3 linked regions of the Lonchura striata genome follow. The protein of the gene in region 2 interacts with the protein of the main gene of each other region in a pairwise test. Links are inferred from orthologs where the notes say so. Each region holds a gene or a part of one and is shown on either strand. Other genes may lie near its edges. The genes, in order: NEK6, NECAB2 and CCDC146.

Region 1 (5,574 bases), on a different chromosome or scaffold from region 2:
CTTGGAGTTGTGCACAAGAATGTAGCAGATTTTTAAAAACAGCTTTACTGAATAGAAAGACGGTAACTTTTGGCAGCCTAACAATAGATACTTTTTGGTTGTTCTTTTGATGTAAAGCACTTAAGTTCTTCCACCTCAATCCACTGACATTCTTATTTTAAGAGAAAGAAATGCATTTTTGCAAATGGTACATCAACAGACTTTGGGAAAATTGAGTTTGGAGAAAAAGAATTGAATTAATTTTGTTTCTCTAAGCACTTTCCCATGTTTCAGATTTTGTACTGATAGATTGATGATATGATTTGCTTTAAAACCAGGTGGCCTCTTAGTTTCCATCTGTTGTGTCTATTGCTCTGTCTCTGGTGAGAAGCACTGCAGAGCTGTGCAGGCATCTGCACCCCGGAGAGAAACTCTGTGCCATCAGAAATGCTCCAGGAGGGAGAATCGGCTTTCACTGTCTCTTAAATGTATCAGAAACTCAAGCCCCTGGATCTTGTTTATACTCACCCAAAGTGAACACAGTGAATTTGTATTAGCTAGGTGTAAACAGCTTTATAACAAAGCCAAAGCTGAGCAACGTTTCCAGAAGAAACAGTTAAAATCTTCCCAAAGAACCACAGTTTCTGCTCTCTCTGGGTGCTGGAGGTGGCACTGCTTTAGCAAGAAGGTTTTCTTAAAAGTATGAGTTTCTATGGATAAAAGCCATGTGAGCAAAGATCTGCCATCATGTTTCTGCTTCTGTAAAACACAGGATTATTTTGAAGTATGTAAGTGGAGTCTGCTGGAAAAAGAGACTTATTCGAACCAAAATGTTTTGGGCAGCAGGTTCCCCACAGCTCTGGTGTAGGTGTAGGTGATGCAATCAGTCGAGAGAGAGGGGACAGAGCAGCAACACGCCAGGAGGGCTGCAGGCATTTCCTTGGAAGCCGCGTGTTCGGGAACATGGGGCAGAGAATGCAAGAATGCAGAGTGGGGCCTTTCCCGCTGCTCCGGGGAACGTGCACAGCAAATCCCCGGTGCTGCGGGGCAGGGCGGCACCGTGTGCCACCGCCTGCTGCAGGCAGCTGCAGCACACCTGCGGGGACTGGGGGACAGCGAGGCCAGGGCATGGGGCACCATGGGACACCATGGGACTCCATGGGACACCATGGGACACCATGGGGCACCATGGGGCACCATGGGACTCCATGGGACACCATGGACTCCATGGGGCACCATGGGACTCCATGGGACACCATGGGGCACCATGGGACTCCATGGGACACCATGGGACTCCATGGACTCCATGGGACACCATGGGACACCATGGGACACCATGGGACTCCATGGGACACCATGGGACTCCATGGGACACCATGGGACACCATGGGACTCCATGGGACACCATGGGGCACCATGGGACACCATGGGACACCATGGGGCACCATGGGACTCCATGGGACACCATGGGGCACCATGGGGCACCATGGGACTCCATGGGGCACCGGGGTGAAACCAGTCCTGTCCCGCAGGACAGGGCCCCGTGAGCACGGCCCCACGGCGGGTGCCCGGCCTTAGCCTGGGTGCACTGGGCTGCCCTTCCCCTTCCTGCTGGGACTGGCTCCTTGCTCACTGCTAGGGCACTTCAGCTCGTCTGCCCTATAGGAGTGATTAAAAAGAAGAAAAAACACTTTAAAGTAGGATTTTTACTAGCAAAGGGCTGTGTGGAAATGGTTTCAGCGGCAAAGGTGCTTTTGCTGGCACAGCGTGTTTCATTTGTGAGCTGCTCTGGGGCTCGCTGGTGTTAGCACTGTGCTGTGCCAGCACTGGGAGTTTCCAGTCGTACCAGCAAACATCTCCACGAAAGTCTGACAAAACTGACAACAGTTGACAAAATAGGAGCAATTGCCTTGGTCCCAGGCCCTGCCGCCGCACAGGGGCCATTGCTGAGACCCGCTCGTTTGGTTTGTGTTTATTGCCAAGGTCGTGTTCACTTGTGAAAAAAAAACATGTTGAATTTCAAGTTCAATTCAATTTATGCCGACTACTCATACATGACTTGAGCTGCAGATTGAGGATTTTCTATCCCAAAAGCTGGATAGATTTTGGAGCCAGACCCGTTCAGGCCGGTTGGTGCAGGAACTCGGCTGCGCCGCTCTTGAGGCTCGAGGCTGCGAAACGCCTGGGCCGGACCCGCGATGGGGTCCCGCTCCGAGCCGAGCGGTGCCGGCCGCCCTCCCGCAGCCCCGGCGGGAGGGGATCCCGGGCCCGGGGAGCCGGGGCGGGGAGAGTCGCGAGCGCCCCGTCCCGGGGGGCAGCGCCGCGGTGGCGGTGGCGGTGCCGGTGGCGGTGCCGGTGCCGGTGCCGGAGCCGGTGGCGGTGGCGGAGCCGGTGCCGGTGGCGGTGCCGGAGCCGGTGGCGGAGCCGGTGGCGGTGCCGGTGCCGGAGCCGGTGGCGGTGCCGGTGCCGGTGGCGGTGCCGGTGGAGCTGGAGCCGGTGCCGGTGGCGGTGGCGGTGCCGGTGCCGGTGCCGGTGGCGGTGCCGGTGCCGGAGCCCCGCGGCCGCTCCAGGTGCGGGTCGCAGGTGGCGCCGAGCGCGCACGCGCCGCCCCCGCGCGCGGCCCCCGCCCGGCCTGCGTGGCAGCGGCGGCGCGCGCGCCCGAGCGGCGGCGGCGCGTGCGCGGGAGCGCGGGGCGGGCGCGCGCGCGGCCAAGTTCCGTGCGGGACGCGGCGCCGCTCGCTCGGTCCTGCGGGGCTCCCGCGCCCCCGCGCCGGCACCGCCGCGCCTCCGCCGCGCCGCAGGTGAGCACACGGGGCCCCGCGCTCCGCCGGGCCGGGCCGGGGCTGTGCCCGCCCGCCGCGGGCCCCGGCTGGGCCGCGGGACCGAGCGAGGGGCGGCGGGGGGATCGAGCGGGCGCGCCGGCGGGGCCGGCGGGGGCCGTGAGGGAGCGGGGGCCCCGGGCGGCGGGGCTCGGGCGGGAGCGGGGAGCGGCCGGGAGCGGCGCCGGGCGGGTCAGCCCCGCTGCCGCCGGGCGGGCCGAGCGGCGGCCTTGCGACTTGAGCGAAGTTGGGACCGTGGTGCAAACACGAGCGTTTGCGCGCTCTGGTGTCGCTCGGAGGTCTGGGGAGGCTTGGGGGGTTTTTCCGTTCCAGCAGCTGTGCTCCGAGCTCACGCTCCCCGGAGGAGCCGTTCCCGGCCCCGCGCCCCCCCGAGCCCGGGATGTGCTCGTTCGTCTCCTCGCTGGGGCTCCCGGGCTTGGCGCAGAGAGCCCCGGGGTGTGCGGGAGGCCCCGAGACCCTGCCCGGCTGCCTCACGCTGGGGTCTCCTGACTCCGATCGTGGCGAGCCCCCGGTCCCGCTGCCTCTCCAGGGCGCGCTCTGCCGCGCTCTCTCCAAAGGAGGGAACCCCGCGGGAGCCCCCGTGCCGGAGGATTGCACATGGCTTTGGAGAGAGCACATGGTAGAGCTGCACTATCAAATACCATCTTTTCCCTCCAAAGTGTGATTTATGCTTGGTTAGAATAACGGTGACTTTCTGAGCCCATCTGTTTGTCTGCCTGTTCGCACACATGGAATAACTCTGCCCATGGTGATTGCCTATGGCATTATTGCAGAAGAAGTAGTTTGATAGGAAATATTGTAGCAATTAGAAGTCCAGTGATGCAAGTTCCTGACACGTTGTGACTGTCTTGCTGTCAGTTCTGTGTCTCCTTTAAAAGTTCATTTTCTATGAATCACTGTAAGCAACCATTTAACTTCTGCAGCATTTCTACAGCTTTTACATTTGAGACATCTCTTGACATTGAGTCAAACTCTTTCCACTGTTTTTTTTTTTCCTGTAGACATTCTTTGTGACAGTCATATTCTGTTAAGCAACAACAGAAAAAAAGAAGGAACTGCTTTTAGATAAGACTGTTGCTGCCTGTTTCCTCTGGCTCTGTCTCGTAGAGATCTAAAAAAATGGGAGCTGTGAGAAACTTTTATTATGGTGGAAAAAGAGCGTCTTCTGTGGGAAGTGAGATTCTGGATGGAGTGTGAGTGACTGCTGTCACCCCAAAGGAGTTGTCAGAGTGGAACCAAACTTTTGCTTTCTTAACACCTGTGATATATAAACTGCTTCTGCTTGATTAATTTCCCCCTCCTTCCTCTGGAATTCTGTCTCTTGACAAATAGGTATTTTGTGAGAGAGGATGGATGCATAATTGGAATGTTTTTAGATACCTTTTCAAATTCTTCACTGTTCATTTTGTTGGGAGAAAACCAGATGAAGATGAATAACTTGAACCCCAAACCTGTATTGGGAAACAGGTTTTTTTGCAGTACTTGCCCTCTATGATCCTGCCTGAAAAGTTTTATGTCAGTCTATAACACTGAATTATACATTGAAAATACTGAGCCTACACTGGCTTTTTCTCTTTTCTTGCGATTATTGAGGCTGTACTGGAGAAAATAGAGATTCTGAGGCTTCTCATGCAGCGTGTTTTTGGGCTTTATTCACACCTACCTGTTGGTCTGAAAGGTTCTTGCAATGGCTTGAAAGGTTTTTGTGTATTGAAGGAGCTGTTGTTTACCTGGAGTAAAATGAGTATTTTTGTTTGAAGGGGGGTAGGAGCCAGAAATGCCCATGTGGGTTTTTCTCCTGCTCTGCCTCTGCTCTCTTAGCTGTAAAATGGGGGTGGTTACCAACAAGTTCCCTTCCTGAGCACCTGCAGCTTTCTAGATGTGTAAAGGATTAATTAGTGGATATATTTTAGCATCTTTTCTTCCTTTATGTGGTGCAAAATATATTTGACCTCAAGGCTGTGAAAAATGTATAACAACAATCAGCCTGGCAGAACAGACCAACCCCTGTGGCTGCAGCAGCCAACAGCTGGGGCAGGTGGGAGAAATCAAATGTATTCAGTCTGAATTTAAAGCAAGAAAAAAAGGAACTGTGGCTGGAGGAGCAGAGGAAGTACTTGCAGGAAGATTTCAAAAACAAAATGACAGAAGTGGAAATCTGGGCCTTGTAGGACATTTGCTTTGTCCTAAATGAAAGCTTAGATGGGTCCTTAGGGAAAATGAATTTAATAGCCCAACTTGGGCTTTAGTTTTTGTCATTCTGACTTGCTTTCCTTAGAGGTTCTTGTTGCAAAGGAGGTTGCTTATGGTAATCTTCAGCAATGAGAACAGTAAGTACGTGGAACCTCATTTTAGAAGCTGGGCTCACCTTCACCACTGAGCAAACCTGTTTCTAATTGCAACTTCCACAGTTTTACTGCAGCTCAGCACTTGTATAGAGAGAGTGGTCTTGATGCTTTGTATGGTCTGAGCACAGAATTAAGGTTCGGGAAGTCATGAATGGCCATTCTGCCCATGACACACACTCCTGCATTTGTCTTGGAAACTCACTGAACCAGTCTGTTTTACCTTTTATGGCAGGTGGTGACTAACCCAATGTACACCTCCCCAGGTGTTTTCTGGGGTGTTTGTAGGAAATTATGTGTTATGTGTCGTTGTAGCCAGTATAAATACAAGATGCAGGAAAAAGTCTTGTAATATTGAAGGCAAAACCTAAATAGTCATGCAGCTGAAATATAGTTTATGATGGCCTTGA
Region 2 (5,574 bases):
CAGGGCAGCCAGTGGCTGCTGGTGTCCTGCTCTCTCCACCTTTAATGAAATGCAGTAAGTGTGCTGGATGCCCATGAGCTGCTGTCTCCTCTTGTCCCTCACCAGTTTGGTTTTTGGTTTCTTCCTCTGGCCCTGGTGGATGGCTGCTTGCTGGGGTCAGTGCCATGGGCAGCAGCACAGGCTGTGGGAGAGGCTGGCAGAGCCCTGATGGCCTGGCTGCAGTTGTGTTTATTTGCACAGCACAGGCAGTGTCCCATCTCCCTTGGCAGGAAGCAGGGGATGAGTTTGGCACACAGAGCTCTGTGCCTCTGCCCCCACCCTTGGCTGTGGTGTGACATGGGCTGGCACCAGCAGAGAGTTCCTTGGTTTCCTCACCTGGCTTCCCACTTTTTCCTCAACTAGAGACTTCAGCCTCACGGCAACTAGGGGATAGCCCTGAGTAATACAGCCCAGTACAAATGGTTGGCTTCTTCCTAACGTCTGAATGGCAGAATTTATTTCTATCTTGATCTGTTTAGTAGGAAAAATGAGTATTTAAATGCCACAGAGCTGGTTTTGACATTACCAAGAACTGTTTTTGACAAAAGCACAGAAATAGCCCCAAACTTCAAATCCAAGTAATGAATCTTCATGGCAAATAGAAAGGAAATTTCAAAGAACCTTATTTCTATATTTATTCACTCAGTAGTTTTAATTAGCAAGCATTTATAGTAATCCTAACCTGGGTGTGATCAATACAGTCTGAACCAGCCATTTAGTGGAGGAATGTCTAAAGGAGAAAGAAGAAGGTGAATAATCTGAGTAATTGTACAAGTACAAAAGAGCAGACTAGCTCTGACCGTGAGAGGCACAGGAGATTGGCACCAGCTCATGGCAAGGAGGGCAAGATGTGTCTTGGCTTGGCTGTGCTTTGCTGTGAGATGTGATTGGGAAATGAGTGATGGTTGGGTTGGACAGTGCTCTGAGCATCCCTGTGAAAGAGCACAGAGCCATTGAAGTGCTCCACAAGCCATCATAAACCCCTGAAATTCCTCAGATTTCCCCCATGAGTTTTGTATTGCTGGAGAAGGAAAGCTTGAAAGGCAAGAGTTTGGTGAAAGAGGGGCTCAGCCCTTGGGTGTCCTAACCTACTGCTAGGCTTCTCTGTGCCTCATTTGTTTAAGAGGCTTCTAAGAGCTTCCAGCTATTTTCCATGTACTTCAGCAGAAAGAGCTGGGCTCCCACTCGCTTTTCTTTGAGCAGCAGCTGAGAGGAAAATGCACATTCCCCACCTGTCACCTCAAACACAGAAAATTCACCCCAATTTACCTGAATAAAGAAGGGTTATTAGAAGAAGCTGCTAAATAATTCCTCCAGGTAGGCTTTTCTGAGGGTCTGGGTTCTGGTGAGCTGCAATGTATAAGCTCTGTTGAGAGAAACAATTGACTACTATTTATTTCACGGAAAGCAGTGGCTGGTCAGGCCCTTTGGAGCAATCCTGCTGCTGGCCAGGTAAGGACTCCCTGTGGGAAGTATGCAGTGTTTGCAGGGGTGCTGGCTCCTGTGACAGAGGTGTTCAAATCTGGGATATGGCCCTGGTAGATCATGAAGTCCTCTAGAGCTGCCTCTGAGGGGGTCTGGCTGCTGCATGTGGGAAAGGTTCTTTGGAGCCTATGGCTACTCCAGAACTCCAGGGAAACCTCCAAGTTTCTGAGTCTGAGCTCTGCTGCTTTGGTGTCTTTCTTTGAACTCAAATTGGGAGCACCTCCTCAGGTGTGGAGAGGAAAATGAAATTATCTTGTGCCATTTTGTCCAGAAGACTTATTGCCTCTACTGCAGGTCTAAATCTCGCTGATTTCGAAGCTGAAACTGAGCACAGGAGTATCTCAAAGAAATGTCCTCATAATACAGAATTACAGAGTCAGGGATATTTTCCATCCGAGCACTGTGCTTAGTGCTGTAGCCACAGATGCTGCAATACCACACCTGGAATTGCTGACTATTCATTGAATAGGGACTTTTTGGAGGAGGGATAGGGATTCAGGGACAAGTTTTATTTACTACCAACAAATTTATTCTCTTCTGCCCTCACAAAGAGCTGCTAAATCTGCTGTGAGTGTAGAGAGGCTGTGGAGGCGAGAGAACACGGTTTTAGTCTTTTTAGACATAAAACACCTAAAAAGGTGCTTTGTGTTGGAGCCGAGGGGGGCTGACCCACCCCCATCCCAAAACTCCCCCGCGGACCCGCCCGCTGCCCGCCGGGCGGTGTGGGAGGAGGAGGAGGAGGAGGAGGAGGAGGAGGAGGAGGAGGAGGGAGTCCCGGCGGCGGGATGAGGCCGGGCTGAGCGATGTGCGAGCAGGCAGCGCGGTACTGCCGGGCCGGGGTGCAGAAGCTGCTGCGGAAGCCGGCGCCGGCGCTGCGCGGGCTGGACGGGCTCCTGCGCTGGGCGGCCGGCAGGATGGGCGACAAGGGCCTCGCCGAGAGGGAGCTGCTCGCCCCGGGCGCCGCCGCCGCCCAGAGGAAGGGCACCTCCGTCATCCTCGATGTGAGTGCTCCCTGCATCCCGCATCCCGGCTCCTGCCTCGGGAGCGGGGATTTCCTCAGCTCCCGGCACTCCCTGGACCCGCCGGGCACGGGCTGAGCCCGGGTCCTGCGATCCCCAGCCGGGTGGGCGTGGGTGTCCCGCAGCCTCTTGCCCGTGTCCCGCACCCGCTGGAGCCCCTCGGGATCGCCTTTATTTCCCGGGTCCAGCATCTGCTGGAGCAGCCGAGCGAGCGGCTGCAGCCCGGTTCTCAGCCTCCCTGCATCCTGCACCCGCGAGCGGCTCGGCATCGGGGCTGTTCCTGGGCTCCTGCATCCCCAGCCGGCTGGGCACGGGATGCAGCCCAGGTCCTGCATCTCCCGGGCCGGCTGGGCACGGGATGCAGCCCAGGTCCTGCATCTCCCCGGGCCGGCTGGGCACGGGATGCAGCCCAGGTCCTGCATCTCCCGGGCTGGCTGGGTGTAAGAGTGCCCAGATTAACAACTTCTTTCCAGATCCTGTGTCCCTGGGCTGCCGAGGGTATGGGGTTGCAGCCCGGGTCTTGCCCCACTTGTCCCGGTGCTGCACATCCTAGTTTGTCGGGGTGGCCTAGGTCCCCGTCCCCCTGCTCTGCACTCTCTGGGACAGCTGGGAAAAAGGTGCACCTTGGTTCTGCATCATCTGGACCGGACCGGGCCGGGCATGGGGGGCAGTCTGGATGCTGCACTTCCTCTCCTGAGCCCTGAGCCTTTTTTTTACCGGATGGGGCATAGAGATGTAGCTTGTATCCTTCTCCTCGCCAGGACTCTGAACTCTCGGGCTGGTGCCCTGGGGTGCCCCATTTCCTGCACCCTCTGGACGGGCTAAGCATGGGGGTCCGCTGCAGGTTCTGCAGCCTTTTCCCAGGTCCTGCATCCCCTCTACCAGCTGGGATGAGGATGTACTGCAGGTCTTTAATCCTGGTTTGGGGGGCTGGTAGGGATGTGCTCAGTGCCTCGATTGCTGTATTTATAGACCTTCTGATTAGGGAGCTACCGAGGCTGCTTGCACTTAAATGAATTGGGAGAATGGGGTGGAATCAGCCAGAGTGCAAATGGTATAATTACAGTCTTTTGGCAGCATCCAGTAATTAAACACATGGATCTGGATCCTCTGTTTTGCTATCTCTTAGCTTAAAAAAAAAAAAAAAATAAAAAGGAAGTAATGAATGCAAAATAAACTACTGAAGCATTGGCTGTAGTAAAGGATAACTCATGCTCTTCTTAGAGGTAGGCTAGGCAGTAGTAGCTCTTCAAGGGAAGCCCTTACATTTTGTAAATAACTTGCTGAACCCGTAGGCATTGGCGTGGGCTGGAGAGTCTGAAACTAGTTCCATCTGTGAGCACCCTGAGATGAATGGCATTTTGGTTCCTTGAGGAAGCACTGTCTCTAGAGGGTTGCCAAAAGCAGCTCAGAGAGCAGGATGGATGGATGGATGATCCTGCCCGTAGAAGGGGCTGGCAGGTGGGCAGCTGCAGTCTGGGGGAGTGAGCTGCCAGGGAAACAAAGGACAAGTGCAACACACACCCCTATGTCTTTTCAGTTAACTTGTTCAGGGGAGAGTTCCTGGGGTTCTTTTTCTATTTTTTTTTAATTATTTTGGTTTGCTTTGGTTTTGGCTTGTTTTGTTTTTTTGTCTGCCCTGAGATTGCCAAAATTTTGCAATAATTTGGAATCTGAGTTTCAGAGCACAAATGCAATTAGGAAACAGCATAAAATTTATGTAAGAGGTTTCTTGAGTTAGGAGTGTTCTGCCACCAAAATGGTATCTTATGCATTCAATTTTACTCTATTTAAGTAATTTCACTTTGAGGTTTGAGCTTAGGAAAAGAGCCATGAACCTTCAGAATGGGAAATACAGTAGAGCATTGTATTCTTTCAGTGGGAAGTACAATAGAGCTGGGTGTGCAGCTCCTAATCATTCTTCCTTTTCACAATGGTACTGGGAGCCCTTTCTCACCTGCTGAAAGTAGAAATGGATTCTGGAAATGTAAGATTTGAGAGCTTAGGGGTTTTTTTCCCTCTTTCCTTAGAACTTGATTTTCTCCTTTTTCTCCAGGCACAATAGCAAAGCAAATTGAAGCTGTGGCTTCGCTGTAATGGGCTCTTCAAGTGCACTGCGAGACCCCCCTTTCACACAAAGGGTTTAAACAGGGAACACCTATTTAGCTTAATTTTCACACATTAGCATGAAAGTAACAAGCATCCCACTGGATGCTCAGCGATGATAACCTGTTTTCCATTTAACTCCTTCACATTTTTGCTGATGGATGTGCTGGGGAAGCAGTGAGTCCCAGCCATGCAGCAGTGTGGTTCTCCATGGGGGAGGATGAAGTAAAAGACCTGTACAATTTTGTTAGCTAACACGTTTCCATGAGCTGGTGTGCTGTGTAGGCAGTTTCTTGGGAGCTGGTGGAGGAGGGGAAAGCTTGGGCTTGGTTATGAGAGAAAATGGCTTTGACGCTAATAGTACCTTAGTCACTTCTTCCTCTTCTGGCTTTCTTTTAATTCATCCATCCCCAGTGTTCTTGTTCCGACTCCTCCATGAGGGTGTCTGGTGTGTCAGAACAAACTTCCCTGTGCTCTTTCCACCAAATAAACACAACTGTGCTGTTGTGGGACAAAACTGAGGGCTGAAGAGGAACAAAACACAACAAGGAGCTAAGATATCTTCTGCCATCAACCTCCTACTTAGAGGATCAATCTTAACTTTGGGCTGGCTTCAGTGCTTTTCTCTTACTTTGCTGCTGGCCTTTTAGGTAAAGGATTAAAAACACTGAGATTGAACAAGGGGTCTGTACCCATCCTGTGCCCACCCTCAGGTGCCTTCTCTGGGTCTGCTCCAGCTGCAAGAGCCCAAGGCTCAGGGCTGGCAGCATGTGCCACCTGCAGCAGGTATTCCCACTCACACCACAAGCTTTGGATGGACACAGGATATCCAATTCTTCCTGCACCCACAAGGACAAACCCCCTGTGTTAAAACCTGTCACAGAGCTGCTCCAATCCACAAGAGGAGATGGTCACATTTCCAGTC
Region 3 (5,574 bases), on a different chromosome or scaffold from region 2:
AATAGCAAGGTTCAAAACTTTTATCAATGACACCAAATTATTCAGACTAGTCAAAAACTCACTGACAAATTGCAGGAGGACCTTGGAATATCACATACTCAAATGATAAAGTAGCAGGAAATGAAACTGTGGGACTCTGACAAGAGTTTACCATGAAGCTCTCACCCTGAAACTGTTTCCATGCACAAAGGGACACTCAGCAGAGAGATCCACTGAGGAGTTGAGCTGTATCAGGCTCTGAGAATCCTGTGATGAAAACAGTTGACAGCTAAGAGAATGCCTAGATGAAATATCATTTACATTTGTTCTATTCCTACTCTTCTCTGAGCATCTGTTTATGACCAGAGACAGGGCAGTGGCTGCTGGAGTCATGGTAGGAGTCAGTACAACAATTCTGACAGAGCAAAGCACACTGAGGGCATGAAGGGAGAGATTATATGCACAAATATTCTGTAATTAGTTACAAAATACTTGTGCATATATTAGTTGCTAGGAAACAAAACAGACCCTAAGCTGTGATAAGTGTATTTAAGAAACATCCCTTCAGTTATAAGGAGTGTTTAAAAAAATTAAATTATAGGGATGAGTAAGACTGGAAAATGTGAGAATGATGTTATGCCAAACCCATAGGACTTCTCCATTTTGAATTATATACAGTTCAGAAAACAGGAAAAAAAAAAAAAAACATTGTAGAATTTTCCCTAAGACACAGGGTGGGAAAAAAAGAAAGGTAAGATAAAAGGTGCAGAATATCTTTGCTGTATGTAACATCATATTTGGCAAAAGTTATAAATTAAATATATGAAGAGTAAGTAGGGTGGGATTATTCATAGTTTCTCGTATCACAACAGCAGCAGGGCATTAAAAGAAATAAAGCAGCCGTCTTTAATAACTTTAAGAAAACAACACACCATGTGCATTGTGCATCAAAAAGTTTTTCCAGCATGATGAAACATTCTGCACTGTATAGGAAATTGCCCAAATCCATAGGAAAATAAACCAAAACCACATTAATGACTGAACACAAATCTCCAAGTTTGTACTCCCTAAACTCAGGGCCACTGTCAGAACTTCACTGTCAGATTAGTAGAGATGTTTATTGGTTTAGCTACTCTCACAAATTGTGTTGCATAGAAGAAACCCTGCACAGATAATAACCCTGTGCCCAAAAGATAATGCAACGACTGAACTGAGCAAGGGAGCCCTTCTGGGTATTTAATCTGCACCGTTACCTTGCAGGCTTTTTTGACCGGCAGCCAGCCAGCGAGCACGGCTGGGAGGGAGCGGGAGGCTGCCGCGGCGCCGCGGGACCGGCGCTGGGAGCAGGCGCGCCCGGTCCGCCGGGGATGCGCTCCGGAGCCCGGGCCGGGGAGCAGCGGCGGAGCACCGGCGGCAGCGCACGCTCCGAGCGCCGCTCACCAGCTCCAGTTCAGCGCGAACCACCGGCGGCAAAAGGGCCAGCAACAAATCGCGTGCCCAAAACGCAGGAAGCGCAGGCACACGGCAAACAGCTTCAGAACGGGGCGTCTGAATTAGCGAGGGCGCTCTGCCGCTCCCCACAGCGCCGTCAGCCGAAGCGCCTGCCCAGCCCAGCCCAGCCCCGGTGGGGTCCCCGCGATCCGTGCGCCTCCCCCGCACCCACCGAACTTCACCGGCGTCCGGACGTCCACGGCGGCCTTGCTGTCCACGCCGTCCGCCACGATCGCCACCTGCCCCAGCGCCTCGTCGTGCTCCACCCGCACCGGGTCCCGCTCCCGCCCGGGGCTGCCGCCGCTCACGGCCACCAGCACCCGGTCCGCGCCCGGGCAGCGCTGCGGGTCCAGCGGGCGGACGCTCACCTGGCACGGCAGCCGCACCCGCAGCCGCCCCCGCGGGCTCACCGACAGTGCCCACTCCCGCGGCGGGGGCGGACCGGGGCCGCTGCGACCGCGCCGGGGGACGGGCGGCGCCCACTGCCCGCCCGCCGCTCGCACGGCCAGGGCCGCCCAGCGCGGGGGCAGCGCCCTCATTGCCGCCGGCAGGGCGAGAGCGCCCGGGAGCCGCGTCAGGAGAGCCCGGGACGGGACGGGACGAGGCCGCTCCCGGCGGGCGGCCGTGACCCCCGGCCGGTCACGTGGCGGGGCTGCCCGCGGGGAGCGGCACCGGCACGGCCGGTAAACAGGCTGTGGCTCCGCCGCGGAGCCTCCTGGGAGCCGTAGTTCTACAGCGCGCGGAAGGAACTACAGCCGTGCCCGCGGGCCTATCGGAGAGCGGGGAGGGCGGGGCATTGCAGAGAGTCTGCTGCTATTGGGCGGCGGGGCTGGACACGGAGCCAATCGGGAGCGGGGGCGGTGAGGCGGGCGGGAGGCCGCGCGCGGGTCGCCATAGCGACGGGGACGCCGCTCGGCCGGGCCGGGCCGGGCGCTGCGGCGGCCGGGGGGAGTCGAGGGGACCGGGACCGCGACCGGGACCGGGCCGGGGCCGGGTGAGGCAAAGCAAAGCAAAGCAAAGTCGCGGCTCCGACGTCTAGGCGGGAAGTAAGTCGAGGGCGCCGCCACAGCCGTGTTTGAGGAGGCCCTGAGGGTCCGGAGTGCGGTCCCTGGGCGGGGCCCGGGCGGGGCCGTGTCGCGCGTGAGGCGCCCCGAGCGGCCGGGCCTTCGGGGCGCCGCAGCCTACAGCGAGCCCGCGGCTGCTGAAATGTCCTCGGTCAGCCGGGGTAGAAGCAGTTGGGCAGATGTGTTGGAAAACTAACACATCTGTTGGCTCTGTTGGTTGGTTTTTTGAAGTGGTATCACAAAGCACCGTAATTGCTCTCTGTCACTAAATTTTGGTCAATGTGTTAGGTGTTGTACTGCTTTTTAGCGGTTCTGAAGACAAGCAAATATTTTCCTGAGTTCTGTGCAAATACACCATGAGACAATTGTCGTTACAGGGTTTATGAACAAGTAGGGAAGCACTTAATTAAAAGTTTAAAAGACTCTTCTGGACTTCATACCCCACGTTATCATCGTATAACAATTTTTAAAAATTAGGTGGGGCATGTGGGCAATAGATGAGGTACAATCTGGCTTAATTCTTGTAATAGTTGTTGTTTACTGCCAATAATGAGAGGGAAAAATGCACAGAAAGCTGCATTGTCTTAGCAAGATTGCAAAACAAGAAATAATGAAATCTGGGCCTGTTACTTAATTTCTGTCTCCCTTTTGCACTCCATGTGTTTCTTTTTCATAAATAACCATGAAGGCATGATACTTAGTCATCAAATACTTTTCATCTCATTAGCCCTATTTCCATTTCTGTGATTGTCTGGCTTTGATTATTTATGAATATTAAATGACATCTCAGTGTCCAACAAGAAGGAAGATTGCTCTGTTTTTTCAGTCTATCAGTAATTTTCACTGTGGAAAGTTTAATGAAGGTTCATATTCACCAATAAAGCCCATCAAGGTAAATTATTGCATTGGTTTACATTACTCAGTCTCAAAACACCCTTAGGCTAAACACACAAAGGGCTAGCCTGTTTTATGATAGTCTACTACACAAAAATTGAATTCTAGAAAGCTAAAAAAGTGTCAAGAAATATCTTGGGACGTGACAGAGGCTAGAAGTTTGTTTTTTTTTTCCCAAGTCTTCAGAAATAGTCGATTTTGGGGAAAAAAAAAGCTACAAAATTCTCACCCTTGAGACCAATACCAAATTTGGATGTCAGATTGTTTGTCAGGGGGAAAGTTAAAGATATGTAAGAAGTGTGTTGCAATGTGCTATGACTCCACTAGATGACAGCCAGTTCAGCAAATAACTCTGTGGTCCGCTCCTGGGTGACTCCGCGGGGCTCACTGCTGCCTCCCTTTCCCTCTGGGTCAGTGCTGCTGCCCTTGATCCTTGACTCCCACCTCCTCTGGAACGATAGTGCTGCTTTCCCACAGCCCCCTCCTCCTCCAGGAGCTTGGTATTTGCTGCTCCTCACAAAGGCAGAGGCTTATCAGCAGTAAACTGCATCACCTTTAATATTGTCAGGCTTTGCATGGTTGAGAAGTTAGTTCAAGAAACCGTTCCAAGATGTTTAAGCCTCAATTATGTTTATATTTCACTGTTGCTGTTGGGTTTTCTCATTTGATACAGTCTAAGCATGCATGGTTAAAAATACTGAACAAAACAGAGAAAAAGTAATTGCTGGGAAGAAGTTCTTTCTCCATACATATGAAATCTCATGTGTTTAATGTTTTACTTATGTCATCTATATTTTTTGCTATATGAATTCTGTTTAACTTTCATGCTTTTGTTTGGATCAAGTGGTAGGTATAGCATGTAGCATGCTACACTAGGGAAAGAATATTTATTTATTTATTTGTTTTTGTCTTTCATTTTTTGACTTGTCATTTGCAGGAAAAGAAAGTTACATTAAATTTATAAGTGAAAATATAATTAGAACTCTTTTGATAGCTGCATGATTTCTTAGTGAATTACAATCCTTATTTGCCATTTTGCCAGATATTGATGGTGTATGCCAAATAATATTCAGTATTTTATGCAAAAGATCAAAAAACTCTAGAACTCATAGAAGTTCTCTAAGGTGATACAAAGTAGATTTTAAGCCAAAGCATTATCAGATGCACTTTTAGGCTGAGGTGAGGGAGACATTTCAAGGAAAGAGGAATTAAATAAGAAGTATTTACAGGAGAGGCTGTAGAAGGAATACATTTTTCCAACTTTTGTATTTGGAATTTATCACAGAACAACTACAAACTGCTGCAGGTACCCACAGAGTATAACCTTAGTCTGCCTGGACAAGATTAACTTTACTCATTTGCTCTAATTTTAATGAAGAAATAATGTGACTTTACTTAGGAAAATAGGGCCACCTTTATTTGTATTTGTTTTTTTTTTTTTTAGTGGTGCATTTCTGAAATGCTTCCTTGAATCTTCTTAGTTCTCAATGTGTGTCTAGAGCTCAGTAGTTAGGCAAATTATGTTTTGTTTGTTTCCTCCTCTGTACTTTAGCATTGCACAGCATGCAATAGTTTGGATTACAGGGATTTTCTTGTTTGTCACGCTACCAGAAATTTTCTGAGGAAAGTAAGTTCCTCATGGAAACCATGTGAAATGGGAAGTGAAATGGAAGTAAATCTTACCATTCGAATTCTCCTTATCTTAGCCATATCTAATTAGAACTCCAGCAGATGAAGTCTGTGTGTGGCTTAGGGTGGTCCTATCCCAAATAGCAGAGATTTAAAAACAAAGGAAAACAGCAGAACTTGTGACAGGAGTTGTTGAGCAGTTTAGGTAGAAATTGTTAACAGTTTATGTTGTGCTCTCATTTTGCCAAAGTGAGGTTGTGCAGTCTAATCAAACAATCCATTCTGATTCACATGCCTTTGATAATGTCCTATTGTACATGGTGTAGTTTTAAATTCAAGCATCATTTAATGTTGGCATGGTTTTGTTGTTTAAAGACACATCTGTTCATGCTGAAGCACAGGTTCTGCCTGTTTAAAACAGAAGGTCTTCTACTTTAACATTAGGGAAAAAGCATTAAAAAATGTAGGGGGAGGAAAGAGGATCACTGTGTGATAGAATAAATCTGTGGTGCTCCTG

Evidence for each region.
Region 1: the proteins of NECAB2 (region 2) and NEK6 interact in binary tests that used the Homo sapiens proteins (3 or more experiments, as listed by UniProt). The link is inferred for Lonchura striata from reciprocal best matches to the Homo sapiens genes NECAB2 and NEK6.
Region 3: the proteins of NECAB2 (region 2) and CCDC146 interact in binary tests that used the Homo sapiens proteins (3 or more experiments, as listed by UniProt). The two-hybrid records come from large-scale screens. The link is inferred for Lonchura striata from reciprocal best matches to the Homo sapiens genes NECAB2 and CCDC146.

The regions. Positions count from the first base shown.
Region 1 is NC_134624.1:10,404,592-10,410,165, forward strand, and holds the start of NEK6 (serine/threonine-protein kinase Nek6), read left to right. Parts: upstream 1-2,686; 5' UTR 2,687-2,780; intron 2,781-5,574. UniProt on the Homo sapiens protein: Protein kinase which plays an important role in mitotic cell cycle progression. Required for chromosome segregation at metaphase-anaphase transition, robust mitotic spindle formation and cytokinesis.
Region 2 is NC_134615.1:15,039,026-15,044,599, forward strand, and holds the start of NECAB2 (N-terminal EF-hand calcium-binding protein 2), read left to right. Parts: upstream 1-2,274; 5' UTR 2,275-2,327; coding exon 2,328-2,525; intron 2,526-5,574. UniProt on the Homo sapiens protein: May act as a signaling scaffold protein that senses intracellular calcium.
Region 3 is NC_134607.1:61,080,771-61,086,344, forward strand, and holds the start of CCDC146 (coiled-coil domain-containing protein 146), read left to right. Parts: upstream 1-2,389; 5' UTR 2,390-2,516; intron 2,517-5,574. Other genes in the region: protein FAM185A, read right to left, coding at 1,643-2,009. UniProt on the Homo sapiens protein: Essential for sperm flagellum biogenesis and male fertility.